Stegostoma tigrinum: one gene and its partners. The protein of the gene in region 4 interacts with the protein of the main gene of each other region in a pairwise test. Links are inferred from orthologs where the notes say so. Each region holds a gene or a part of one and is shown on either strand. Other genes may lie near its edges. The genes, in order: tfip11, E3 SUMO-protein ligase ZBED1-like, trim54 and airim.

Region 1 (7,399 bases), on a different chromosome or scaffold from region 4:
TTGGAGGCTGTGGGTGGGAGGTGCCCTGAGGTGATGAGGTCATGAATAGTGTTGGAGATGATGGTTTGGTGCTTGGGGGTGGGGTCATGATCAAGGGGGTGGTAGGAGGAGGTGTCGGAGAGTTGGCGTTTGGCCTCGGCGATGTAGAGGTCAGTGCGCCAAACTACCACTGCACCACCCTTGTCTGCAGGTTTGATGGTGAGGTTGGGATTGGAGCAGAGGGCTGCCCGTTCTGCAGGGGAGAGGTTGGAGTGGGTGAGGGGGGTGGAGAGGTTGAGGCGGTTAATGTCTCGATGGCAGTTTGTTAATAGACTAGTTAAAACTTAAATAATTCTTAGTTTTCACACAGCTACCATGTCATATAGACAACTTTCATTTTCATAATTCTGCAGTGGGAACATGTGCCAAAACTACATCAGTAGAAGCATTCATGGTCAATTTTCTCTCTTTGTTCATACCCTCAAACCCCCTAACTTAAATCGAGAGATTAGGATCCATGGGTAGCAGCAGAAATTGAATTGTTATTTGAAATTACTGAAGGATACATGATTAATGTATGTGTAGTCCCTCTTCAGCACTCGGGCTGGTATTCTGCAATATTTAAAAGAAAGTTCAACAATTTTGATAAGAATACTGTTTTAAGATTATCATCTTTCAATATTCTCTTTTCAAGAACATAGTTGGAGATATTACTAATCTAATTATAATATCCATTCCAATGAACGTCCCTGATAACCTCTTCCCAGTTCCACTATGCTTTGTTTCAAAAGCTTTCACCCCTGCCTTTCTGTTCCAGACTCTATGCTTGAAGTTCAAATCTTCACTGTGGTGAACAGATTTGCTGAATGAACTCTTCTTAAATATTGAAATTAGATCACCTTAAACTCTCCACTTTAATAAAACCATTGTGTGTAATTTAAAATTCCAATTCTCATATTATCCCGCACAGTACTATTGTTGCATTAATGTCCTACAGAGCGTAATCTATCACTATTTTCCTATCTTGCCCCATCATAATTATTAAATCACCACACAGGTTTTTTTTATTTACAAAGGATGAACAGCAGCAAAATTTTCTTACCTCTCCTCTATCCCTTTGAAACTGTTTCCAATGAGAATAGTTTGTGCGAGTTTTTGTGGTGACCAATTCCTCCACAAAAGGTTATTGTAGAGAGCTTTGCCACAGTGAATCATGTAGAACAGCGTTGGCCTGTCGATGGACCGCTTCCCTTCCTAATAGATTTTTAAAAGAATATTGCCAATCATGTCACGATATGCAATAAAATTTCTGAAGCACATGGATAGGTGCAGTTTGCTCCTCAAATTGTCATACAGAAGATCTGGCTGTGATTAGGGGCTAAATTTGGAGCAATCACCAGAAACCCAAAACCAGAAAGTAATGCATCCCTTTTGTCAGACAGGATTCACAGAGAAGACAATGGACAAAACAAAAACTAACTGTGTCAATGCCTTTTACCTCATTTTCCTCAAGCACCACCATCCCACTGTCCTTCAAGAATTTCTTCTCCCATTCTGTAAATAGTGGATCAAAGAAAAGGCAGCCATCTCGAGGGATCTGTTAAATACAACAACAAAATTTAAAATTTTACATGGAGCAAAATCACAACTACAAAAATGGGAAACGGTGCTGGACAATGATTATTTGATAAATTAAAACTGATTTCTTTCTCATCTGTTCACTTCTAATTTTGCACGGTTGCAACGGATTGCATAAGGTGAGATAGCTGCCTTTTTCTATCCCTTTGCCCCTCCCTTCAAATGGGCTGAATTAATGATTTCAATCACAGAGACGTTCGGATATCAGCTGCATTCTATGAAGTGGAAGTGAAGATCAAAGGGTCAATGAAGATCTCCGAGCTGCATTCGCATACCTGCTGTTCACTGCAATTGCATACAGCAAAAAAAACTGTGCATTAAAGAAATGATTTATTTCTGGATGAGGCATGAGCTGAATCAAAAGTAAAGCCCTCCATCCACTTCACGCTGTTAAAACAAGGTGTGTGAATGATTCTTATGTCTCCTTCAGCTTGCTTTGAAAATATGATTTCAGACTGAGTTTATCATACGAGGAAGCACAGTTGCAAAACTTTTCACATTTCGCTATGTGGTATTACCTGTTCGAAGATGTTTGTTTTGAATGTTTTTCACTGTCCATTCCTAAATCTGCAGATTTATAGATTTAGAGAATTATCATTTTAAACATAGTTATGAGTCACTGATTTATTTCCACAAAAAAGTACAAAAACACTAGACTTTTGCTGAATGAAAGATACACCGTGCAAGAAGAATGGGACAAGCAGAATCAAAGATGGAAAAGCAACTTGTTAATACAACTATGGTTTCTAAGCATTCAGGAATGATGCAAACTAACATTACTCAATGGACTCTTTAGCTCCCCATTCACTTCACACATTAGCACCTGACTACACTTACCTGTAGTGTCTCTAGCAGTAGGAACAGCAGGGCCAGCTGATAACGAGATGACATGGAAGTAGAAAAATTTCCGATTCCATAACATACCGAGTTAAGCATATATCGATAATGATCTGTATTTTTCTTTTTGTGTCCAAGGTAATCTGGAGGTTCCCCAGTAGGGAAGGGACTTGATGGAGATACAAGTTGATCTGTATGATGCATATTCACAACTCTTTGAAAGGTTTCTGAAACAGATTGTGACAATTACCATCTCAGGAAGCAAACTGAATGTCGTAAAAATTGCAAATAGATAATTACAGAATTGTTTCAGGTGCATGTCATTCAGTCCAGCATGTCTGAACTAGCTTTCTGAACATCCACCTGTCACCTTTATTGACTTATGTACATATACAGCAGGTCTCTCACCTCTCTGCCTACTCCACCAACTTGTAATTTTCCTCCTGAAATTCTACGCTATCCTCCTCTCAGTTTATAATGCTCCCAACTTTGAAGTTATCTCCTGCACTTCAAGATTCAGACCCCTTACATATATCAGGAAAAGCAAGAATTCCAACACTGACTCCTGGGGAACTCCACAATACATCTTACTCAAGCCCAAAAAACATCCACTAACAATTACTCTGTTTCCTATCACTTAGCCAATTTTATATCCACATTGCTATAGTTCTCTTTATTCCATAAACTACAACTTTTGTTTTACAAGTCTATTGTGTGGCACTATATTGAACTCTTTTTGCAAGTCCATGTACACAATATTGACCACATTGCCCTCATCAATTCTCTTTATCACCTCTTCAAACACTTCAGCTAGCTAGACATGATTTTCCTTTGACAAATCCGCGCTGGCCTTTCTGAATTAATCAATATTTTCACATGTGACGATGAATACTATCCTGAACAATTGATTCTAGAAACATTCCCATGTTAGAACTTAAGTCTACCAACTCACCGAGGCAATCAATCCAGAATTCTGAACTTTGCAGTTCCTTTCTGTAATAAAGTTCAATGGTTAGTTTTTCCATCACAGAAAGCTATGATTATTTTGTAGGTGTCAAATTTACAGGGACAAAGCAAGTAAAGAGTAGGTCTGACCATATGTCTTGTTTCTTGTAATAATAGGTGAATAAATTATTTTAAACTTATCTTGTAGAGAATGAAAAAGAAAGGAAACTGTTAGGAATGAGCCAACACTTAAGGTACATTTAATCGCTTCCACAATTTATTAACTTGGATGCCTAATTATGACGCTGTGACTTAACTGAAGTATTCAAAATGGAATGACAGAATTTCAGCTGGACAGGAGGGAGCATACTGGCCAATCATACCATTTAAGTGAACTTGAAAAGCCAGATGAGTCACATCTGAAAAATCTACTTGAATATGTACCTTGAGATCTCAACATAAAGTGAAATATTTCACCACTATAAATGTAATTGTGATAGAAAATGCTATCATGATAGACTAGGAGAAATGGTTTGATTGAACACATAGATTGTATTGGCCAACCATGGCAGTTGTAAATGTCAAAATAATGAATAAAAGAACTGGAGATGTTGGAGATTTGAAATAAAAACTGAAAGTGCTGGCAAAATTCAACAGGTCTGGAAGCAACTGTTCGGAGATGGCTGAATGAACATCTCGAGTTCAGTGACTCTTCATTAGAATAGAATTGTCAAGGCCTTAGGAGCAAATTACTGCAGATGCTGGAATCTGTACTGAAAACAACCAATGCTGGAGATCACAGGAGGTCGTACAGCATCCATGGGAAGACCTTTCCAGGTCCATATCAATTGCCTTATCGAGTAGTGTTGGCTGTGTGCCTAACTCAGATTGGCTTCCGTTTTCAGTGACTCCTGAAGTTGGATTTTAGTACATTTCCCCCCCTTTTTATTACGCCAACACACAGCAATCTGTGGACGTATGTGTGTGCTCCACGTCTCACACGTCTCAGATGTTTCTGGATACGTTATCTCTGGTCTGGCACGAGCGAGAGGCTGAAGGTGTTTCCCTACAAATGTCGGGACCAAAATCCATCAGATCAACCCCGCAGCAGCAGCAGGAGGTGGGTTCTGACAATTCAGTGAACTTACACTGCTTCCTTTATTTTCTGTTGCATTCTCTCCCCTTCAGCCACACTCGGATATTCCACCGCGTGGGGAACCTCTCTGGCATTTTCTCTCCGTTTCTTTACTCCTTTTTTCTTTCTGATTGTTTTCCATTCTCCTTCTGCTGGTAAGGCAGACATCTCTCTCTGTAATTAAGTTTGAAGAAGGGCCGTACCAAACTGCATCCTTTCAGTGTGCCCGTGTTGTTGCTGAGGAAGCTGAGATCTGGTGCAGGGGCAACAGGTTTCGAGATTATGGGCCTCAGCTGGGACGATGTGTAAAACAAAAACTGGAAACTCTGAGAACTGCTCCCTCTGGGAAGAAGAGAAACAAGATTTTTAAATTACATGGAGTGTTTATTCCTCCTTTCTGTCTGTTCCTGGTTATTTAATTTCCCAGTTCCTCAGAGCGTTTAACTGTTTTACACGACCCACGGTGCCTCTCGGTTCACTGTTCCCACTGACACCATCACCTTTGCAGGTTCTGTTTCCTGACCGCGGGCCGGAACCATTGTACGCTCTCGGTGTTTCCCGACAGCGGAGTTCCGGGCACGGACCATAGGATGGCGGATGTGGTTCGTTGGTGAGACATCGGTTTAAAGTTATCTCCGAGAGGCGGAGGGCGCGCGGCGGCGGCTTTGTGGCTGGAATTAACCGAAAGCGGTGAGTTTGGGTTGTGGACTTTGTTCCTGTTCGTTTTGTTGGACGATTCCTAAACTGCACCCAGGCCGACTGAGAGAACCGGAGAGCGGCCTGTGTGTGTGTGTGAGAGAGAGAGAGGGAGAGAGAGACACTGTACTCTAATCCTGACAGTCCGTTCCCCGTAATATGCACACAACCCCTGTTCCGCGCCGCCCCCCCCCCCCCCCAATTCCATTAGACCATAAGATCTAATTCGGATGTTCAGCCCATTCGTGTCTGCACCACCATCCGATCATGGTCGATATGTCTCAACCCCGTTCTCTCACCTTCTCCCCCAACCCCTGATCCCGTTACTAATCAACAACCTAACTATCTCTGACTTAATACGCTCAATGACTCAGCCAACACAGTTTCACCACCTGGCTGAAGAAATTCCTCCTCGTTTCAGTTTTACAGGGTTGTTCCTTTGCTTAGAAGCTGTGCCCTCAGGTCCTAGTCTCTCCTAGTAGAGGAAATATCATCTCCACAACCTCTTTGCCCAAGCCTCTCGGTATTCTGTAAGTTTCAATGAGATCTCCTCTCACGCGTTGAGTACAGGTCCAGAATCCTTAACGACTTCTTCTATGACAAGTTCTTCATCTCCAGGATCATGCTTGGAAACCTCCTCTGAATGCCCTCCAATGGCAGTGAATCCTTTCTTAAATACAGGGCACAAAACTGCTCACAATATTGCAAATGTGCCTGACTAGAGCCTTACACTGCATCTGCAGTACGTCTCTGCTCTTTTATTCTAGTCCGCTTGACATGAATGCTAACATTTCATTTGCCTTCCTAATTGCCAGATGAATCTGCATGTTAACCTTAAGAGAATCCCGGACAAGTAGTCCCAAATGCCTTTGTGCATTTGATTTCTGAAGTCTTTCCCAATTTAGAAAATAGTACGTGCTTCTATTGCTCCTACTCAAGTGGATAACCTCACTCTTTACCACATTGTATTCCATTTGCCACTTCTCCAGCCACTCTCCTAGCTTGTTGAAATCCTGCTTCATCAACATTACCCGTCCCTCCACCCATTCTTGTGCTTTTTTTCAAACATGCAGTTTGTTGATCTATAAAATGAATGGTTGTGGTTGTAACATTGACCCCCCGTAGAACTTCACTAGTTACAGGCTACCATCCAGAAAAAGATCCGTTTATTCCGATCTGTGCCTTCTGCCCATCAGCCAATCCTCTATCAACGCCAACACCTTGTCCCCAACACCATGGGCTTTTTTTTTAAAGCAGCCTCCTGTGCAGCGGCTTGTCAGAGGTTTCCTGGATATCCAAATGGGCCACATCCATCGGCTTTTCTTCATCAAACTTGTTTATTACCTCCTCAAAGGATTGCAATAGATTGTAAGGCACGACCTCCCCTTGAAGCAGTGCTGACTCAGTTCTTCTTTATCATGCACTTCCAAGTTCTCTGCAAACTTTTCCTTTGTAATTGACTCTAAAATCTTACCAGCAACCAAGCTCAGGCTAACTGACATATAATTCTCCATCTTCAGGCTCCGTCTTTTCTTAAACAACTTGTTACATTAGCCATTTTCCAGTCCTCTGGGGCCCACCTGTCACACAGGTGATGCCTGAAAGATCATCACCACCAATGTCTCCATAATCTTCTCAGCTCTCTCTTTCAGAACTCTGGGATATGGTCCACCCACTCTGGGTGATTCATCCACCTTCAGACCGTTCAGCTTCCCCAACATCATCACCTTACTGATGTCCACTACACTCAACCATGCCCCTTGACACTCTGAAGTTTTGTTATGATCCATGAAGAATGATGCAAAGCATCAATTAAGTTCATGATTTCTTTGTTTCTCATTAGTCCTTCTCAGCCTCATTTTTCAGCATTCCAATGTCCACCCTTGCCTCACTTACTTCTTATTTATCTAAAAGAAAACTTGTTCAATTTTTTTTCATATTACCAGCTAGCTTACTCTCATATTTCATCTTCTCCCCCTTATTGCTTTTTTGTTTGCACTTTGCTGGCTTTTAAACCCTCTGACTTCCCAATAATCCTCACCATGTTGTGTGCTTTTTCTTTTACTTTTGCATTGTCCCTAACTTCCCTTGTCAGCTATGCTTGCCTCATCCTCCCTGTAATATGTTTCTCCTTCCTTAGGATGAATTTCTCCTGAACTACCCCGAGAA
Region 2 (7,853 bases), on a different chromosome or scaffold from region 4:
GGATCTACAAAGGGCGGGGGGAGGCAGCCAGGACACTGGAACGGAGTTTCCCGGTGAACAGACAATGCTGGGATTTTAATGTCAGCCACCAGGACAATTTAATCGCGGTCTCTCTAACCTGGCAGCAAAAAGTTGCGTCCGAGCAGCTGGGAGAGCAACACCTTCACCCCCACGGCGTAGGTCCACAGAAACGCGGAGAGGGGCGACATTACAGCAACCGAGCGAGAGCAGTCGAGGAGGGTACAGCACGAGAACCGTCCCCCAGCGTGGAACACACTGAGCCGCACAGACGTTCCGCCGCACTAACAGTCCCACCTCCAATTCCTCCTACAACACAGCTCAAACCAACGCATTATAACAATCTTATAACAAAGTGTGGAGCTGGATGAACGCAAATCCCCTCCCCCCCACTGCATCCCAAAACCAGTCTCTGTGATAATGGGAACTGCAGATGCTGGAGAATCCAAGATAGCAAAGTGTGAAGCTGGATGAACACAGCAGGCCAAGCAGCATCTCAGGAGCACAAAAGCTGACGTTTCGGGCCTAGACCCTTCATCAGCCTGTCTCTGCCTCCCTAACCTGTTCTTCCTCTCACCCATCCCTTCCTCCCACCCCAAGCTGCACCTCCTTGACCTGTCCATCTTCCCTGGACTGACCTATCCCCTCCCTACCTCCCCACCTATACTCTCCTCTCCACCTATCTTCTTTTCTCTCCATCTTCAGTCCACCTCCCCCTCTCTCCCTATTTATTCCAGTTCCCTCCCCCCATCCCCCTCTCTGATGAAGGGTCTAGGCCCGAAACATCAGCTTTTGTGCTCCTGAGATGCTGCTTGGCCTGCTGTGTTCATCCAGCTTCACACTTTGTTATCTTGGATTCTCCAGCATCTGCAGTTCCCATTAGCACTCACACTCAAACCAACACATACCGAGCAGTGGCTGCACTCACCCAGGCATTGTATGTATGTGTGTGTACATTTATTTACAAATTACATATATCAATGGAAAGCATTGTGGATGCTGGAGATCTGAAATAAAAACAGACATTTCTGGACAAACTCAGCAGGTCTGGCAGCATCTGTGGAGAGGAAAGCAGAGGTAACTGAATTAGATGTGACTGAAAAATTTGCATTGGCCTTCCACAATCACATGATCCTGAGGCCCCAAAGCACTTTACAGCCAATGAAGCACTTTTGAAGTTTGAACGCTATTATAGGGAGCTAGAGGTCTTTTGGTGCAGTGTTAGTGTCCCTGAATCTGAGTCAGACTCTCTGCGTTCAAGTCTCACCAAAAGAAGGTTCATTCTCAGTGCCTTCAAAGTAGCTTGTGTATCAAGCTGCAGACCCTCCCGACATATGCCATCTATAGGCAGTAAAACTGGAAGACTGTTAGTCAGCTGTAAGATAGGAAGACAAAGTGGAGCCTCTGCTGGCTCTGCACTGCAGCATAAAAGTCAAAGTGCATCTGCTACAGCAACTCAGACTCCTTGAGGAGACAGGTTGCCTGATCAAGAGCCAGTGCAGATCACATTAATGGCTAACAGCCCAAGTTTGGATCTGTCTCAGATACATTTGGGACCTGAACAGTTTGCAGTTCTGCGGGTTGGACCAGTCTTTGAGTTTGCAAAATGTAGGGTACATCGCAGTCAATCAAGGCACAAGCTCACACAAAAACATGCTAGTTTACATTGGCTAATTCGCCTATCTTTGCAATGCTAGTTTAAAATATTGTGAGGACTCTGGGAAGAACATCTCTGCTATAATTTGAAATGGTGCTGAGGATTCTTTTACATCCACCAGATGACATCGGCTGGATCTTAGTTAAGTCTCATCTGAAAGAGATATATATTTATGTGGAGGAGAGGTTTCATTTAGCGAGGAATGAAATTAAAATACAGAGCGCTGTGTATTGTCATATCCCTATATCATGAAAAGGAAATAGAGGTGTTGGAACAGATGTTAAATAAATATATATATTTATAAAGGTGAAAGCAGAAATGAGAAGTTATAACTATCATAGAAATTCTAAGCAGGCTGTGGCTCTACTTAAGAGAAAAAAGACTTCATCAAATGTTGATTATTTCACCTACACACACACACAGATCTTCAACTGGTTTTTGCACTGGAACTTGGTGCAATTAAAAACCTGAGAGACAACGACAAATTCTAAATGGGAATCAAGACTTGTGGGAAATGCAAGCAACATCACATTTGTCTCAACTAAATCAAATTGAAGAATCTTTACTGTGGGTCTGATTTTAACTCACTCAGAACCTACTCACAGAGTCTGATCATTAACATAAATTAGGATAATTAACTCAACACGATATCACATTCAAAAAGCAAAATAGAGAGAGAAAGAAAGATGAGATGAATAGAGAGAGGCAAAACAGAAGGGAAAAGTGAAAAAAAACTTTTTTATGTTATGATGTTCAATGGACAAGTCCAAACTTTTGATGATATGGTATTTATCACATTAAGGTCAACTATTTAGTGCCTTCCAAGCATTACAGTGACAAGCTTTGAGGCATGATATTAGCATAGCAAAGCTTTTGGAAGAGCTGATCAATTAGGATTTATATATGTGTGGTATTAAAAAGATTTTCAACATGTAACTTGTCAGAGCACAAATTCATGGATTTTATATTACTTTAATAGTGAATCCTTGTTCAGTCTATTAGTACATAATATGTACATCCACCCATATTTTGCAGCAAAAAAATAGTGAAGCAACAAGTGCTCGCTATTATTAAAGTGTAAAATTGGACAATGATTTCTGATGCCTATACCAAAGTAGTTGAAAGCAAAATTTAGGATGTTGCTCTGATCCTCCAAAATCTATAATGACACCAGTATCCCACCAGAATTCCCATTATTGATGCACTTAAATTGACAGGAACCTGTTGTACTTACAGATATCCGCTAAACAGGGGATTGGGACTGACTGGATTGTCCCCGTAAAGAACCGGCATGGACCAATAGGCCAAATTACCTCCTTCTGCATCATTGTGACTCTATGAGTAAACATAAGGGAAACAGTTAGGAATTATCCAATTCAAAAGTACATTTTAAAGGTATGATAAATCTTAACCATTCTGGCCTTGTAAACAAACTTTTAACAGTGTAGAATTGCATTCCTTCAGTTTATAATTATTTGCGATGAACAGAAGTACTAGGACTAGGAGTAAGCAATTCAGCTCTTTAAGCCTGCTCCACTGTTTAATACAACCATAGCTGATCTCATTTCAGCCTGAATTGCAATTTCCTGCCTGGTCCCATAACTCTTCAACTCATTACTAATTAATAATCAGTCTATCTCCTCTCTAAACTTACTCATTGTCCCGGTATTGACCGCAGCCTACAGCAGCGAATACCACAGATTCAAGACCTTTTGAGAGAACTAATTTCTCCTACTGTTTTAAATCTAGTAGCCCTTCTCCTAAAATAATGACTTGTCATTCTAGATTGCCACAAATGAAGAAACACCTTTTCTACATCTGCTTTGTCAACCCGCTTTTTGATCGTTTTTACCTCAATTAGATCTCATCTCATTTTCATAAATGCCAAGAAATATGGGCATAAATTGCTCAATTTTTCTTCATAACGTAAACCCCTCATCTCCAGAATCAATCTAGTAGGCCTGCTCTAAACTACCTCCAATGCAACTACATCCCTCTTCAAGTAAGGGGTTGAAGATTACCAGCTGCAGTCTGACTAATGTCTTGTACAGTTACAACAACACCTCCTTACTCTTACACTCTACATCTTTAGCAATTAATGCCAAAATTCTTTTGCCTTTCTTATTACCTGCTGTACCAGTAAAATAGTTTTCTGTGTGAGCCATGCCCAAGGACACCCAGATCGCTTTGAAGCACTGAAGCACTATGAAGTTTCTCTACCTTTAGATAATACAAAGGCTTTAAATATCATGTCATTCTCTTACTCACAGCAATTTTTCCCTCAAGATCCTGAAAGTTTTGATTATATTCCAGCCCTACACTTCTCTTTGTGAGGCAACATCCACTCCACATCGACCTTGTCAAAATCCCTCAGGATCTCATCTGTTTCAATCATGTTGTCTATTGGTCTTCTGTCTGTGCACCATTCCCATAAGTGTTTTCTTGCCTTTATTATTTCTCATCTCCATTCAAACTATTTCCACATCCTGAACTTAGGCTCTCGACTCTATTGTGTTCCTGCTATCAATATCTAACAGAGCCAACCTTCCATTTTTTCCTAGCTACCTGTCCTTCCTGTATGTCTTATATCCTTCAAGATCCCCGTCTCTGTCATCCGATGACAAAACATTCGCTAAACCTTTTCACTTTGCACTCATCATGACAATTCACAAGAATTATCAATGTAAAGGGTAGACAACATTCATACTGTACAAGAGAGGGAGAGTTAGACACTGGTCAATGGTGGACACTGTGTTGTGAGAATATTACTGAATCTATACAACTAATGTATCCCTTTGGAAATCTTTCAGTTATAGATAATTCTTTTCTGCATAGGTTTGTATGTAACATTTATTGCGTAGATTTTTTTTCACTGTGCGGAAGCTACCAGTGTAGAACATTTCTACTACATTTTACTGTATACAATAGTATTGCATAAATTGTGTGACCTTCTGTCAAGGTTGACATTCAAGTTTCCCTACACTGAATGGGTAAATATTTCACCGTGTAGTTTTATATGGTTGTTCAGTGTAAAACCCATTCTACAGAGGATCCTCATAGCCATCAAATAACATTTATCTTATCAATCTAAGCTGATTTGAAACTACATTTTCAAGGTAAGGCCAGTATATAAACCATTACACAGCCCAGAAATGTTTGGAAGGATATGGGCCAGGAGCAGGCAGGCAGGCAGGACCAGTTTAATTTGGAATTATGCTCAGCATGGACTGAAGGGCCTGTTTCTGTGCTGTATGACTCTATGACTCCATTCCAAAAATGTGCCCGAGGTTTTTCACCAATTAGATGCTGGTGTTAGATCAAACAAGGAAATAATTTTTGTAAGTATCTGTTGGATCCACACAACTTCTGATTATATCCTTCCATCCCTTTTCTTCCCAAATATGTATCTGAGCAACTTATGAGCTCATTTGTATAAACCTCAGTGGTTTTCCCCGGTGATCTATCCCCTTTGGAAGAAAATGTTCTATTTGACTCATTTGTTTATTCTGAACTTCTAAACTTCATTTGGTATCCCCTGGTTTTTGTCAATTTCCTAATTCTCTTCAAAATTCCTTCAATTCCAAAGAAGAATTAAAACTTCGACGCCAACTGCCAAAACCATTACCCGGTATATCATTGATAATGGGAACTGCAGATGCTGGAGAATCCAAGATACCTGCTGTGTTCATCCAGCTTCACACTTTGTTAACCCGGTATATCATTCATGTCTTCATTACCCATCTTCCATATTTAACAACAGTTCAGAATAAAAACCGAAAGAACTACAGATGCTGTAAATCAGGAATAAAAACAAAGTTACTGGAAAGGCTGAGCAGGTCTGGCAGCATCGGTGAAGGAAAAAACAGAGTTAACGTTTCGGGTCTGGTGACCTCAGAACAGTCCTGAGGAAGGGTCACCAGATCCAACATGTTAACTCCGTTTTTCCCTTCACAGATGCTGCCAAACCTGCTGAGCTTTTCCAGCAACTTTGTTTTTGTTCCTGAAACAACAATTCAGGCTGAGCCACAGGGCAGGTTGAGCAAGTGCATGGAACTTTTGGGACCAAGGTGTCTAAATAGCAAAGAGCACAACCGTACAGTAACAAAATTAATCTTAAGCAAAAGTTGCTGGTTCAGCTTCCATTGCCGTTTTCGATGAAATTCTGATCACACTTCAACAGGGATGTGAAGACTTTGGAGAGGGAACTGAAAAAAATTTACAAGATTGGTCCCTTAGATGAGGGTCTTCAGTTACTTGCATTGACTGGAGAAGCTTGTGTTGTTCATCTTACAGAAGTTTGAGAGCAGACTTGATCATGTTGGAGCATGCCAAAAGCAGTGCCAGGCAGACCTAAAACTGAGGTGTTAACCCGATGAAGGTACAACACAGGACTACTTGTATGACAAACCACAAAATTAGATGCATTGGACAGAGATCCCACATCTAGCAAATCAGATGAAAGTTCTGCAATCCTGGGACAACCAATCCTGAACAGTGTTGGACAATTAAATAGCCAACAGGAAAATGACACTTCAAGGTGATAGAGCAATCTGAGAGTGGTCCCTTGCCTCTGTTCTCAACTGATAAGGCTGCAGACAAAGCTAATGTTTGAGTTACAAGAGTTTATCTCAACCATCTTATGGATACCCCAAGAGCTACCTCTTACAGCTGTCAGATAAGCCCATTAACTTCCATTCAATCAGTTCTGCCTGAAACGAGCTACTTAAATATAATGTTATGAAGAACAAGTCAAGGAGGAGGAGACGAGCTGGGCTGGTTTTGGGATGAAGTAGGGGGCGGGGACGAGCTGGGCTGGTTTTGGGATGCAGTGGGCGAAGGGGAGATTTTGAAGCTTGTGAAGTCAACATTGATACCATGGGGCTGCAGAGTTCCCAAGCAGAATATGAGTTGCTTATCCTGCAACCTTCGGGTGGCATCATTGTGGCACTGCAGGAGTCCCATGATGGACATGTCATCTAAAGAATGGGAGGGGGAGTGGAAATGGTTTGCGACTGGGAGGTGCAGTTGTTTATTGTGAACCGAGCGGAGGTGTTCTGCAAAGCGGTCCCGAAGCCTCCGCTTGGTTTCCCCAATGTAGAGGGAGCCACACCGGGTACAGTGGATGCAGTATAGCAAATTGGCAGATGTGCAGGTGAACATCTGCTTGATATGGAAAGTCACCTTGGGGCCTGGGATGGGGGTGAGGGAGGAGGTGTGGGGGCAAGTGTAGCACTTCCTGCGGTTGCAGGGGAAGGTGCTGCGTGTGGTGGGGCTGGAGGGGAGTGTGGAGCGGACAAAGGAGTCACGGAGAGAGTGGTCTCTCCGGAAAGCAGACAGGGGTGGGGATGGAAAAATGTCTTGGGTGGTGGGGTCGGATTGTAGATGGCGGAAGTGTCGGAGGATGATGCGTTGTATCCGGAGGTTGGTGGGATGGTATGTGAGGACTAGGGGGATTTTCTTTGGGCGGTTATTGCAGGGGCGGAGTGTGAGGGATGTGTTGCGTGAAATGCGGGAGACATAGTCGAGGGAGTTCTCGACCCCTGGAGGAGGGATGTTGCGGTCCTTGAAGAACACGGACATGTAGGATGTGCAGGAGTGGAATGCCTCATCCTGGGAGCAGATGCAGTGGAAGCGAAGGAATTGGGAATAGGGGATGCAACTGCACCTCCCAGTCGCGAACCATTTTAACTCCCCCTCCCATTCCTCAGACGACATGTCCATCATGGGCCTCCTGCAGTGCCACAATGATGCCACCCGAAGGTTGCAGGAACAGCAACTCATATTCCGCTTGGGAACCCTGCAGCCCAATGGTATCAATGTGGACTTCACAAGCTTCAAAATCTCCCCTTCCCCCACTGCATCTCAAAACCCAGCCCAGCTTGTCCCCGCCTCCCTAACCTGTTCTTCCTTTCACCTATGCCCTCCTCCCACCTCAAGTCGCACCTCTATTTCCCACCTACCAACCTTATCCCGCCTCCTTGACCTGTCCGTCCTCCCTGGACAGACTTATCCCCTCCCCAACTCCCCACCTGTACTCTCCTCTCCACTTATCTTCTCCTCTATCCATCTTCGATCCGCCTCCACCTCTCTCCCTATTTATTCCAGAACTCTCTCCCCATCCCCCTCTCTGATGAAGGGTCTAGACCCGAAACGTCAGCTTTTGTGCTCCAAAGATGCT
Region 3 (7,109 bases), on a different chromosome or scaffold from region 4:
TCAATCCCCTCGTCCAAGTCATGAGTTGTTTGTTGTTCTGTTCTTCCTTGGTGATCCTCTTGATCTCAGTGAATAGGTTATTAATAAGCTGATGTGTTTCTTCTAACTTTGCTCATTTAATGATAAAGAAAGTATCGTTGATGCAGTTAACCAATAATTTAGGCTGGATCTGGGGGAGGATCTGCATGTTCAAGTCTTTGCATAACTGCTTCCATTATAAGACCCAAGATGGGTGAACACACCTATGCAAAAATGGCGGTGCCATAAACAACATAAACATCTTGAAATAGACCCCAGCTTAATACCACGATGGAGCAAAACTGGAAACAGAACCACCCGCCATAACAGACCAGACCATATAAATTTAAAATGGAACAGAACGTTAGCACTTCAGCGGAGGCTAGACAGCACTGAAAATGTCACCCAGAATGGGAATGAAACATTTGTACAAAAACCAGTCAGCTCGGCAAACCAACCAACAACTCTGATCTACACAATAGATCAAAAGCATTGATAGCACCAATGTTAATGTTTTAGTAAACAAAATGATGAGCTTATAAAATAATCCTGAACTTGTAGCCACTTGCACAATGTAAATTACTATACAAGTGTATTGTCACTTTAACTAAAAGTTATTAAACGTTGTGTAAATCGTAAACTTTAGTCAATAAAACAGTCGCACATTAATCAAAAATTTAGATGAATATAGTAGAGGGATCATATCAAGATAAAATATGTGACTAATAACTATCTCGGAGAGTTATCATTGGGTCAAGTATGGTAAATGATAAGCATCTGGTTCAGTGAATCATAGCTTTAAACTATCTTGCTGAAATAAACTATCTTGCTATTATTGTCAGTATTGTTCATGGACCCTAAATGTATATAAATTGGTTGACATGTTTTCTCCAATTACAACAGTGACTGCACAACATTAACTGCGATACAATTTGCATGTCCTTGTCTGAAGGGCAAAGTTTAAATTCTCTTAACAGTCAACAATTAGACTATTTACCCATTATTGTTATTTGGAAAAGACAATAACCCAACTGAGATAGACTAATTGAATGAGACCAGAAGATTCTGAACAGAAATGTAAAATAACTTTATCATTGAGAATTTGATTTTATATTTAAAATAGTTTACATTAGTGATTTGTTTGAATGAGTCTGACTATGCAATTGGAAGTCATAAAAGTGATTTCATTTGAATTATGCTCTGTCATACAAACTGAAAGTCTTGCAGATGTGTTGGCATCAAACAACCTCATTTGAGGATTTCACAAATAGCATTTCTATCTAAAATAGATGAGTGGTGTTAGAGTTTCCTCTTTTTATCCATCAATCGCAGGTCTCCAATCTTAAGTAGGCTTTGATTTAGTGCTTCAAAGAAAAGGCATTGGAACTAGAATTCTTTGTTACTGAAAGCAGAAACCACAACATCAATTAAAGGAAAACTGAAAATTAAAGTTGGAACATATAGGCCTATTAAGGCAATAGGAGTAGTTTTGAATTGTCCTAATAAAAAGACAGCATGGGCATTATCCATACAGGTTCCTCCTTTGTTGCAAACCTCTTAAAGAATCCTTGAAAAAAGACAAAGATCATAAACCGGCCCATGTGAATTTTGTACCCAAAAACCCAAACAAGTGGAATACAAGGATTTGCATCTTTTCATCCTGCAGTTTCAGGTTTTTCAGACCCTGTTCCCTGTAGTACGACTTACCTCATCATTCCTCTTCCTTTAACCTTGTTACTTTCTTAATTTGAAAATTGTGAGCATTTCCTACATAGTACTATTTGAATTCCCATTGTGGAACATTCTACTGTATTCCCAAAGGATTTGATATTGTTTGTTCTTACTTACTAATTCCTGAGCGTGGCTGATAGAAAATATACTTCTTTTTCACCTCAGCCAAAAGAGCAATATAGAAGTAAATGATTATGAGAAAGTGGTAAAGACCACTTTATTTGAATAAAATAATAAAAATGTTCTTCTATGTTTACAGATCATTGACTAAACACACTCATTCTCGGTTCAGCTTTCTCTATAAATAAAGCACATTGCGTAACCTGGATGATTCTTGCTTGTAGATATCAATGATATTTTCCACCAAGAGATTTCTCTGCAGGCCATAAACTCCATGGCGATCCAGTACTACCTCATGTCGGCAGGAAGGACAGCGAAAGCGACCCCCTGAAGGCACTGTTGTGGAGCCTCTCGACTGCCAGAATGGATTGGAAGCCTGTGAATTATGTACCAAATAAAAGTGTCAAACAGCCCTAAAAGAGTATTCAGCTACGCCACGCGTTACTCACATTCCTTTGCCTCTTGTCAGTCTTCCGCTTTTTGTAGATATTCTTCTTTGTTTTTTTTTGCTTCAACAGAACCATGCAGCTGAACGCCAGTGTTATCACCCACAGCTCAGGCAAAGAGAAAGATGTTTTATCATTAAAAAAAGAGATGAGCTGGACTTGATCATAATTTCTGCCGCCACTGTATTTGTGATCTGACATACTCTTCTTTCTCATTTCTCCTCCCCTACATCCCTTCACATGTAAATCTGCACTCCAAGCAATCTGATGTGTAAAAAACAGGCCTAAACATTAAAACTATTTTATCAAGAGCATGCTTCTAAAGAATAGTTTTCATGGACTTAAAATGTTAATACTATTAATAGTGCATTAAGGTTAATAACTATGCCACGGTAAAATGCCACTAAGTTCTGAAACACCTACCTGGAAAACGTCATTGGCACATTTTCTACACAAGTTGTGTTGACATGGTAAAATCACAACTGGCTTTGTGAACATTTCCAGACAAATAGGACAAATAAGTTGTTTCTCCAAACTGTCCATTGTCTGTGCGCCTCCAAGCATTGGTTTGAATCCTACTGCAAGGTTCATCCCCAAAATCAAGAGGTTCACTCAATCTGTTAAATAGAATTTTCCTTTTCCCTCTCTTCAAGGCACTGTTTTTCCCAACCTGTGCTCTCCGCTGAAACATCAACTGTTAGGCAGCCAGCTAAATTTAGAATCATTTCACAGAGGATCGTATTGCTTTTCTTTTAGCCAACAAATCACATGGACTAACAGTTGTGGGCTCTGCATTCCTCACTCCATATTTATCTCCTGAAATGTGAGACTGAGATTTTGAACAGCCATTTGTTGGGCAGCTCTTTCCCTTGTCAAATGATGTTTAGTCATGTAGTAAACTACTGATTATATAAATTACTAAAACAAAACTGAATGCAACTCAAAAGTTTCTGAAATCAACTCCCTGAACAAAGTTTCAAATTGAAAACCTTAAATTAAATCCAATGCAACCTGTTATCCTGTGTACAGCACTTTTTATGCTCAGCAATATATTCCTGTTGAATATATATATTTTTGCTTTACTTTGCAACTTAATCTGATTTCATGAATAATCGATGCACAAAACAAGTGAAGTGTTTTCAGATTAGTTAATTAGGAAATACAATCCTCAGCCTAATGCAATTGAAATCTCCAATTAACACAAATGATAAGATCACAATTAAGTTGGATATAAATATAAAATGAGAAAAAATGTTATACCTACCAAAGCAATGTGCCACCATCTTTCACGAGAATGTAGTTAACTACTCCTTTTTCATGACAGACTGCTATGCCAAAACAAAGGAATGGTTGTCCCTAGCAAATGTTGAGAAGTATTTAGCTGAAAGTAGCATCTAAGGAGGAATGACATGCTGGTCTTCTCAATATTAAGCTGCTCTGTGGATTTATGTTAGAATCTCAATTATTTCTAAAAAATATAAATAAGCTATTTCTTTGTTATGGTCTGTCTCCTTAGGCAATGTCACCTCTTATGGCACCATCTTAGGTACAAATATCTCAGCATAAATCTTAGATACAAAAAAGGAATACAAAAAGAGTAGCTGCATTACTTTACAGTGTTCAATGAGTAAGTCGAAATAAGACCTGGTTAAAGGATTGACAATACAGTCACATGAACAATGAATAAACATGACATTGCAGAATCTCAGTGCAGAGACTTTCACATGTCCAACAACTATACCAATTCCGCTCCAAGCTCCAAACAATCCATTGTCTGTGCACCTCCATGCGTCGGTTTGCATCCCACTGCAAGGTTCATCCCCAAAAGCATACTCTCTCTAAATTTCTTGTCATGGATGTCTCATCCTTCACTTAGCATCTTTATTCTTCATTGGGATAGAACTCTTTTTTCATGATTTCTAGACATGACAAAAGCAGCAAACACAACACATAAATAGACCTTGAAAATAATTAATTCTACATGAAGGGTGTAAATGATGTTTAGATCATCAACTACTAAATTAGTCATAAAAGCAGAATATGGTGAAAATACTCAAAATGTCTGGCAGCATCTGTGGACAGCAACAGAGCTAAAGCTTCAGATGGCTGACCTCAAAATTAATTCTAAAACTTAGATATAGATCTTTGGGGCTTTTTTATTGTTGCCACAGTTGTGGTCAGCATGTGGTATGAAATCAACTGAAGAATTGGTCAAGGATGTATAAATGAAGTGGATTTCACTCATATTGGATTCATAAACAAAAAATCTTGAAAATCATAATTAAAGCTTGAATAATGAGAATTTATATAAAATAAATGGAGTGGGAGTGGAGAAAACAATCAACAATTGGAAAATATCAATATAATTCTAAAAAACACAAAGTGGATATCCACACAAGTTCCATAAGTCTCTTCATGCATATTTTGAGAAAATTGTATTGAATTGAACAAATTAACTAGCTAAAGACAAAACAACTCAATTTCTTTATTCTTTCAAGGGGTTCTCTCAAGCAAATTCTTTGCTCAACCTAAATTGCTTTAATAATGTACATTAAATCTTAAATTTTAGTAACTAAGTGCTGTTTAAATCAGAGGCACACTGCTATGGGGGCGGCATGGTGGCTCAGTGGTTAGCACGGCAGTCTCACAGCACCAGGGACCCGGGTTCGATTCCAGCCTCGGGTAACTGTCTGTGTGGAGTTTGCACATTCTTCCCGTGTCTGCGTGGGTTACCTCCGGGTGCTCCGGTTTCCTCCCACAGTCCAAAGATGTGCAGGCTAGGTTCATCGGCCACGCTAAATTGCCCATAGTGTTCGGGGGTGTCTGGGTGGAATGCTCCAAGAGGCAGTGTGGACTTGTTGGGCCGAAGGGCCTGTTTCCACACTGTAGATAGGGAATCTAATCTAATCTATCACAGGCCTTCACTCTCATGACTGTTTAAAGCTGGGTGATGAGGAGGTGAGCAGGCCTTAAGGTACTAGCTGAGTCTACTTGTGTTACCTATCACTACTTGGACCTTTTATCAGAAGGGTTAGGTGGACGCTAAGAAGCAGTGCAAGGAATGGTCAAATGTCACTAAAGAGTGGTGACTGCTGAGAGGTTGCAAGCTCACTGAAGGCGTGAGTTTTACCTAAACCAGAATGAACTCAGTTAAGATCAGGGTGAGTGCCATTCTGCCAAAGAGAAAGGCATTAGTTGAAGGCCAAGTAACAATCACACAACTCACATTAATTCAGCAAATAAATCTGAAATTGGAAGCTAGATTCGGTAATGGTAATGATAAAACTATCATTGATTATTCTGACAACCTATATGGCACACTCCTGCCCTTTGTGAAATGAACATACTGTCCATACGGGTGATTCCAGGTGTACTAGCAGGTGACAGCTCTGCCATGATACTGTTTGTTGCTGCACTTCTAATCAGTTTTGTGCCACCAATGTGTTTATACCTGAAGTATAATCTCCCTACCTTGTATTTGATTTCCCCTTGCAATAAATGATTTTATTATATCAGCTTTCCTTGTTACTTGCTGTACCTATTACTAACCTTTTTGTGATTCATGCACTAGGATATCCAATCCCGCTGCATCGCAAACCGCTGTAATCTCTAATCATTTAGATAATCTTTCTTTTTAAAATTCACTTATTTTTCTAATCAACCTGTTTAGAAATCTTCTTAAACACTTCTGGAGCAAGTGGGACTTGAATTTGGGCCTTCCAGTCCAGGAGTAGGGACCCTACCACTGCATTACAAGAAGAGCTACCAACAATAACAAATTTTACAATTTCTCACACCATACTGCATTTGCCATTCTCCTTATTTTTCCATCACAATTTACTTTCCTACCAATCTTTGTGCCATCAGCAAATTTAGCAACTATACCTCCCATTGCATCATCTAAACCATTTATGTAAATTGTGAAAAGCTATGGTCCCAAAACCCGTTGTTACAACTTGCTAACCCGAAGTGAATCTATTGAGTCTACTTTTTGTACCTGCTAACTATTCAAACTTCTACCCATTATAACATGCTACCCCGCACGCAGAACTTTTATTTTCTACAATAACCTTTGATGTGGCACCTTATCAAAGGTCTTCTGGAAGTCTAAGCACAGCACATTCACCAGCTCCACTTTATCCATAATGTGCTATTTCCTTAAAGATCAGCAATAAATTTGTCGAAGATGATTTCCTTTTCACAAAACTATATTGACTCTGCCCAATAACCCAAAACTAGTCCGAATGTATGACTGTTTCTAATATTTTCCTTATGACAGATATTAAAATTGTTGGCCTCTAGTTCCATCAGGTACTTGTCAGCTCACAATTCCAACAATTTACTCAACCCTACTTCCCTCTTGATTATTATTTTCTTCAGTTCTTCCCTCTCTTGATTCTTGATTCACAGCTATTTCTAGGATTGAATGTATATCCTCCATGGTGAAGACTGATTTGAGTTCAATTCTTCTTTCATTTCTAATTTCTATCTAAATCACTTTTACATTCCGTGTTCCTACACTTAGGTCTTCCTTCTCTTTTATGTTGGTAACATCGTGAAATAAGAGTCATTCCTCCAATTCTTCCAAGCCTCCTGCCCCTTCTATAATGCCATATAATCTTCAATATTCAGGTGTCAATCTATGTCATCCTGCAGCCATGATCCATGATAATGCTATTGAATATCATGGGGAGATAGTCAGATTCTCTTAGTAGTTGCGATTTTCAATAATTCTGTAGATTCAGCTTGGAAATTAGTGAAGTAACTAATTTATTCAAAAAGTGGGGTAGTCAG
Region 4 (7,002 bases):
GTTGTACAAATAAGTGTCAGGAGACAGTACTTCAGGCTTAATTATCAATAGATGAGCGATGCTGGAACCTACATTTTCTCACCAAGGCTTTCCAAATTGATTTCGATAGCCCGAGTGAGTTTGTATTTCAGACGGCACTGCAAATCAGGGAACACTCGAAAGGGGGTATTCATAAACACAACTTTGTTGCACGCTTGCAGTTGCTCTGCCAAGTTACTCAGCGAACTCAGGATTGGGATACATTCCGTCAGTGTACTTGCCCACAAATTTTGTTGCTGCTCAATAACATGGAAACATTTCTCCAAAACTTGATGAACAGCCAGCAAGGCTTGTCTCTGAGCCATGACTTTCTGCTACAATAACCTAAAAAGAAAATCACAAGCAAATGAATCCAATTGACAAGAAAAATATCCAGTGAAGTACAAATATCCAAAGAAATAAAAAAGGTAAAGCAAGTGTTTGATTTGTGGAAGTGATTAGACTATTAAGAGATTTTTTTTTAAATATATGACTTAGCAAACAATGTTCTTTAAAACTGCAGGTATTTAAACAAAAACACTCTGAAAATATCTGGTCATTCTTACAATTAAATTTCATATTAGCTTTATCTTGATCTTGGGCTCTAATTTTTTCCCTCCTTGTCAACCTTTGAACAGAATATAAAACCAGTACAGAATGACAATCTTCTGACCTGTACAATTATCTCCCTATAAAACTGATGCTATATTTATTTTTTCCCTTAATTACCATGGTTACCACAATAACCAGGAGATTGGTACTGAGTAAATTCTTGGAGCTGTAGGCTGGCAGATCCCCGGGTCCACACGGACTTCATCCTATAACCTTAAGTGAAGTGACTTGTGAGATGGGTGCTTTTAATTTTCCAAAATTTCCTCAATTTGGAGAAAATAGAGGCAAGGTGGAGTAGTCATGTCACTAGACTATTAATGGGGGACATGGAATCAAACATGGGTTTGAATCCCTCATGGCAGATGGTGAAACCTCAATAAAAAGCTAGCTAGTGGTGGCCATGTAATCACCACTGTTAAAATAAATCTGGTTCATTCATGTACTTTATGGAAGATAATCTCTCTCTCTGGTCTGACATAAATGTGACTTCAGACTGTCAGAAATGTGGTTGACTCTTCTGTGCTCTCTGGGCAGTAAATGTCATCTGGGCAATGCCACATCCTGCACATGGATCAAAGGAGTTTTGTTACACCGGAAGAAAGTGAAAATGGCACAATTCTTTTCAAATCAGACTTAAAGCAGGAACTCAGCCATAACCAGATGTTAAAAGCTACTGTCAAAGACAAAAGCACTTTGAAAAAATTCAAGTTAATCTCATAGAATCAACATAGCTTTGTTAAGGGAGAGTTAATTTTTTTAAAGGGTTCATAAAACCAACAACTGAACCAGCATCCACTGCTGTTTGTGGAACAGTGTTCCAAACATCTACCAGCTTGTGTGCAGACGTGCTTCCTAACATCTCTCCTGAATTGTCTGGCCCTAATTCTCAAACTGTGTCCCCTAGTTTGAGGATTCCCAACCAGTGAAAATAGTTTATCCATCTTTTCTTTTCCTGTTACATCATTTTTGTTTAAATCATGAAGACTACCTATTTCAGCCCCTGCTTGTTTTGAAAATGTCAACCATGTTTTCCAGACCAGAATATTTCATGCCTCTCATCCTTTTTAGTCTTGAGCTCATCCAAAACCCTGTTATCTGTATCCTAATTTCCAACAAAATGTTGTTGTACCCACACACTATTGCAGTTATTGTGTTTGCTGATCTGCATTTGCTTCCAAATCTCAGTAGGTTGAAGCATAAAGTGTTTAAATTCCTCAATCCCTTCCTAAAAAAAGATGTTGCCTGCAGATGTGGAATTCCTCCTTCAACTGACCCCTTCAACTTAAAACCCAATTCTGAATTTTAAGTTTCTTATTAATTTCAAAAATACACTTTATTCATTAAAAATATCTTGTGTATTATAAATAAATATAATACACACAGTACTGATCTGTGCAGTAGCATATCAAGAAAACAAACAGAAGTTGATTCTATCCAATCAAACCAAAGACATCTTTTTGAGTTTTAAGTCTTCCACGTAAACTTGTCCCTTCCGTAACTCAAGTGAGAATTTCTGATTACAATCTTGCGTGGTACTGACCAAAAATAACACCTCTATCCCAGTGACATTTACATAAGTAGTTAACAGCATGATGGTCCACAATTGAGAACAGATACTGGCCAGTTCACCAGAGACCACACTCTCTGGAAATGGCGCCTATGGGATTTGTTAGGGGCATCTGAGCAGGCATGTGGGACCTCCGATTAATATCTCACATGGGCGATGGAATCACTGTGCTCCTGTGAACTGACCGCCTTGAGGCGGCCTCATGGAAGCAATGGAAATGAACTACAACATGTCGGCAACAAAGCCCCATGAAAAAGCCTCCTCACAGAACGTTGCTGCTGACACTTTTCGAAGAATGTGCTGGAGAAGGGTCAGCCGACCCACAGCGTTAACCCCAGTTTCGTTCTCCACATATATGCTGACTGGCCTGCGGAGATTCCTCCAACAACACAGCAGGCCAAGCAGGATTTAGGAGCGAGAAAGTTGACGTTTCAGGCCTAGGCCCGAAACGTCAGCTTTTGTGCTCCTGAGATGCTGCTTGGCCTGCTGTGTTCATCCAGCTCCGCACCTTGTTATCTCGGATTCTCCAGCATCTGCAGTTCCTACTGTCTCTTCCTCCAACAATTTCTGCTTTCGGTTCAAGTTTTCAGAGGCGCGGTGGGCGAGAGTGACGCCGCGAGGAGCTCGACCAGTTAAGCGATTCAACACGCCCAAACGGGTGAGAAAAATAAAATAATACCCCGGCCCGACCAACGTACTCACATGTCAACGGCAGCGAGAGAAACTCCACAGCACTTTAATACCAAACGTCCCTACCACACGCCTTTATCCGCGCCTGCGCACATCTCACCCAACCACCAGGACTACAACCCCCATGATGCTCCGCGCGCAGTAAAAATTTTTTGGTATCCATCTCGCAAGAATATGAATATTACTGAGAAGACACAGACACACTTGGTTATTTTCGTGCTCTGTTCCTCCTTGGAGTTTAAAAATGATTTAGTTGCTGCAAGTTGAATTTTGGACGGTTGCTCTGTGAAGTGACATCCCACCATGATGGGCGATTGGATAGGTTTTGGGCCAGCCACGCTGCGATTGGGCATATCCTGGACAGTTCGTGCTGTGAATGGCTGATATCTGGGATAGCTGTGCTGCGATTGGCTGTGTCCTGGACAGGCCTTGCTGTGATTGGTTGATACCTGGCGCAGTTGTGCTATGATTGGTTGGACACGGTGAAGCAATCTGCCCCGGCCCACCGACGTCATGCTACCGTTAAAAAAGCACACCCAATGTCTCTGAGGTAACGAAGTGTGGAGTTGGATGAGTACAGCAGGCTAAGTAGCGTCTCAGGAGCACAAAAGCTTTGCCCTGTTGTGTTCGTCCAGCTCCACACTTTGTTATCTTGGATTCTCCAGCATCTGCAGTTCCCATTATCCCTGACACCCAATGTCTCTACTTCCTCAGAAGGCTAAGAAAATTTGGCATGGCCACAATGAGTCTTACCAATTTGTATAGATGCACCATAGAAAGCATCCTATCTGGACACATCACAGCTATCTTTTCAAATCAGAACTGGCACTCATGTATTACTTTATCTTTCTCACCCGCTTGGGCGTGTTGAATCGCTTAACTGGTCGAGCTCCTCGCGGAGTCACTCTGGCGTACCGTGCCCCCCTCGAGCCTCTGAAATGCCTCTGATGAAGGGTCTAGGCCCAAAACGTCAGCTTTTGTGCTCCTGGGATGCTGCTGGGCCTACTATGTTCATCCAGCCTCAGATTTTATTATCTCATGTATTGTACAGTTATTTTGTAACAATGCCTTAAACCAGTGTCATGTGAATCATTTCTGAAGAAGGGTCCAGACCGGAATCGTCAGCTTGTCCGGTCCTCTGATGCTGCCTGGCCTGCTGTGTGCATCCAGCTTTACACAGTGTTGTCTCCTGTGGATTGTCCTTGTTTACATTTCATCAAAACACTAAATGGCTTTGAACACCATCATTACCTCAACCACCCTTTGTTAACCACCCATAATTGCAAAAATGATGGTGAAGTACCTTAATAAACCATTGCAGTCCATGTGGTGTAGTTACACCGACAGTGGAATTATGGAAAGAGTTCAAGAGTTTTGACCAAGTTACAGTGAAGAAGAGAGTGACCAATTATATCAATTTCAGGAAGCGGAATGGAGGCCATGCCCCTGTCTGTATCAATGATGCTGAGGTGGCAGCAGTCAAGATCTTCATGTTCCTAGGAATAAATACAACAATAACCTGCCCTGGTCCATTCATGTCATGCTACCATTCAGGAAGAACACCAATGCCTCATCTTCCTCAGAAGGCTAAGAAAATTTGGCATATCCACAATGATTCTTATCAATTTTTATAGATGCACCATAGAAAGCATCGTATTTGGATGCATCACAGCTTGGTATGACAACTGCTTTGGCCAAGACCACAAGAAATTAAAGACATTTGTGAACACAGCCCATCATGAAAATCAGCCCTCCTTCCATTATCTCCGTGTACACTTCTCATTTCCTCAGGAAAGCAGCCAGTATAATCAAATACCCCTGCCATCTTGGTTATATTCTCTTCCACCCTCTTCCATTGGGAAGAAGATACGAAAGTTTGAAAACACATACTCATATTTAAGAACAGCTTCTTCCCTGCTGTTGTCAAACTTGAGAAGAAACCTGTCATATATCAGAGTTGATCTTTCTCTGTGCGTTCTCTACAGCTGTAACACTATGTTCTGCATTCTGTTCTATTACCCTGATGTAGTTGTGTACAATATGACTTGTCTGGTTCGTACGTAATGCAATACTTTCACTATCTCGCTACGTTGACCAATAATAAATCAAATCAAATCAAGATAGTTTGGTAATCAGAGCTCCATGTTTAAAATTGGCTAAAAAGTAGACAGTTGTTTTCACTTTTACAGTTTGGATCTAGAATGCACAATGTGAAAGACTCGGTGAACTAAATTCCACAGGAGCTTTCTAAAGGCAATTGAATGCATATTTGTAAAGTAAAAATTTTATGCAGTGGAGGGTTGAACTTGCGAGTAGGAATAAAATGGGAAGTTTAGATTAAATGACCCTTTTATAGTATAATATTTTATGAAAAGTTGACACTGAGACACATAACGCATTAGTACAGATGTCTAACAAAACTGATCAAAGCAGTACATTTTAGAGACGCCTTCCAAGAGGTTAAATGTTGGAATATCTGTGCTTGGGACCAAGACAACTGATGACACAGTTGCTAAACTCCATCCAGCCTGTGCCATTCAATCCTTCCTTTTCAGAGGCGACTTCAGCTCGGCACTAGTCTATGACAAACTCTCCAACAAGTAAACACAGGGCTATGATCTTCTCTTAAAACTGGTGTTCAGACCATTTTCTGTTTGCTATATAAGCAAACTCATTTAGATCTTTCACTGATAAGCAGGTCCCTAAGGTTACCTATCATTCCCCAATCAAATGTTGCTCACTGGGACAGTGAGATTTTCCGCGCAGTTAATTACACTTTCTACACTTCTTTTGGCCAATTTGTCAAAATGCTTTGATCGGACATGCTCGTTTGAAGATGATTCAGTGTGTATTATGGGTAACAGTTACTATTTAGAAGAATTTGATTTGTTAAAAAGGCAACGTATGTGATTCTTTGAATCCCTTTTCCCATTTTATCTCCTTCCCCCTCCTCTTTTCTCAATTCTGTCCATCTACTTTCCTTCTATCAAATTAACAGCCCAGCAATAATACCATTAGGCCATCATCTGCACTTATTAAAGGTCAAAAGTATAAAGCAACATTTCCCAACACCTTTCAGTTCTGCAGTTAGAATGATCATTCTGGACTTAAAATGCTAATCCTGTTTCTCCCTCCACTAATATTGCCAGATCTGCTGAGTTTCTTCATGATTTTGTGCTTGCTACGGTGAGGATGGATCTATTCTCACTCCAGAAGGGATTGAGATCAAGGCAAAGCAATTGACAAAAGACAGAAAGTGTGATTTCAGACAAAGCCAATTCCCATAGTATATGCATGGGATGCTATATGCACTGCTGGAGGAACAGCATTGATTGTTGTAGTCAGAAGGCTTATTCATTGGAAAGAAGCCGTAGATCAGCCGACTGATTGACTCTGGAGATAGTAGGAACTGCAGATGCTGCAGAATCTGAGACAACAAAGTGTCGAACTGGATGAACACAGCAGGTCAAGCAGCACCAGAGGAGCAGAAAAGCTGTCTTTTTAGGTCTAGACCCTTCTTCAGAAATGGGGGAGGGGAAGGGGATTCTGAAATAAGCAGGGAGAAAGGGGGAGGTGGATAGAAGATGGATGAAGGAGGAGATCGGTGGAGATGAGACAGATAAGTCAAGCTAGGGTTGGAGCCAGTAAAAGTGTATGTAGGTGGGGAGTTAGGGAGGGGATAGGTCGGTCCAGGGAGGACGGACAGGTCAAGGAGGTGGGAATGAGGCTGGTGGGTAGGAGATGGGGGCGGGGTTTGAGGTGGGTGGAGTGGATAGATGGGAGAACACGTTACGGAAGCGAGTACGAGCTGGGATGCTTTTGGAATGTGGTTGGGGGAGGGGAGATTTTGAAGCTTGTGAAGTCCACATTGATACCATTAGGCTGCAGGGTTCCCAAGCGGAATATGAGTTGCTGTTCCTGCAACCTTCGGGTGGCGTCATTGTGGCACTGCAGGAGGCCCAGGATGGACATGTCTAAAGAATGGGAGGGGGAGTTAAAATGGTTCACGACTGGGAGGTGCAGTTGTTTATTGCGAACCGAGTGAAGGTTTTTTTTGTTGAAGAAGGGTCTCGACCCGAAACGTCTAACTTTCCTGCTTCCCTGATGCCGCTTGC

What was found.
Region 1: the proteins of airim (region 4) and tfip11 interact in binary tests that used the Homo sapiens proteins (3 or more experiments, as listed by UniProt). The two-hybrid records come from large-scale screens. The link is inferred for Stegostoma tigrinum from reciprocal best matches to the Homo sapiens genes AIRIM and TFIP11.
Region 2: the proteins of airim (region 4) and E3 SUMO-protein ligase ZBED1-like interact in binary tests that used the Homo sapiens proteins (3 or more experiments, as listed by UniProt). The two-hybrid records come from large-scale screens. The link is inferred for Stegostoma tigrinum from reciprocal best matches to the Homo sapiens genes AIRIM and ZBED1.
Region 3: the proteins of airim (region 4) and trim54 interact in binary tests that used the Homo sapiens proteins (3 or more experiments, as listed by UniProt). The two-hybrid records come from large-scale screens. The link is inferred for Stegostoma tigrinum from reciprocal best matches to the Homo sapiens genes AIRIM and TRIM54.

What each region holds. Positions count from the first base shown.
Region 1 is NC_081379.1:17,491,906-17,499,304, forward strand, and holds the start of tfip11 (tuftelin-interacting protein 11), read left to right. Parts: upstream 1-4,397; 5' UTR 4,398-4,408; coding exon 4,409-4,519; intron 4,520-4,547; coding exon of another isoform or gene 4,548-4,702; exon of another isoform or gene 4,703-5,224; intron 5,225-7,399. Other genes in the region: srrd (SRR1-like protein), read right to left, coding at 546-591, 1,082-1,233, 1,478-1,576, 2,455-2,681, 3,407-3,447, 4,548-4,702. UniProt on the Homo sapiens protein: Involved in pre-mRNA splicing, specifically in spliceosome disassembly during late-stage splicing events. Intron turnover seems to proceed through reactions in two lariat-intron associated complexes termed Intron Large (IL) and Intron Small (IS).
Region 2 is NC_081359.1:101,414,791-101,422,643, forward strand, and holds the start of E3 SUMO-protein ligase ZBED1-like, read right to left. Parts: upstream 3,012-7,853; 5' UTR 3,011-3,011; coding exon of another isoform or gene 2,910-3,010; intron 233-2,909; exon of another isoform or gene 210-232; coding exon of another isoform or gene 119-209; intron 1-118. Other genes in the region: dhrsx (dehydrogenase/reductase SDR family member on chromosome X), read right to left, coding at 2,910-3,010.
Region 3 is NC_081357.1:80,447,905-80,455,013, reverse strand, and holds the start of trim54 (tripartite motif-containing protein 54), read right to left. Parts: upstream 3,013-7,109; 5' UTR 2,907-3,012; coding exon 2,739-2,906; intron 2,246-2,738; coding exon 2,073-2,245; intron 1-2,072. UniProt on the Homo sapiens protein: May bind and stabilize microtubules during myotubes formation.
Region 4 is NC_081377.1:9,425,331-9,432,332, reverse strand, and holds the start of airim (AFG2-interacting ribosome maturation factor), read right to left. Parts: upstream 3,002-7,002; 5' UTR 2,900-3,001; intron 2,894-2,899; exon of another isoform or gene 2,706-2,893; intron 364-2,705; 5' UTR 345-363; coding exon 73-344; intron 1-72. UniProt on the Homo sapiens protein: Part of the 55LCC heterohexameric ATPase complex which is chromatin-associated and promotes replisome proteostasis to maintain replication fork progression and genome stability.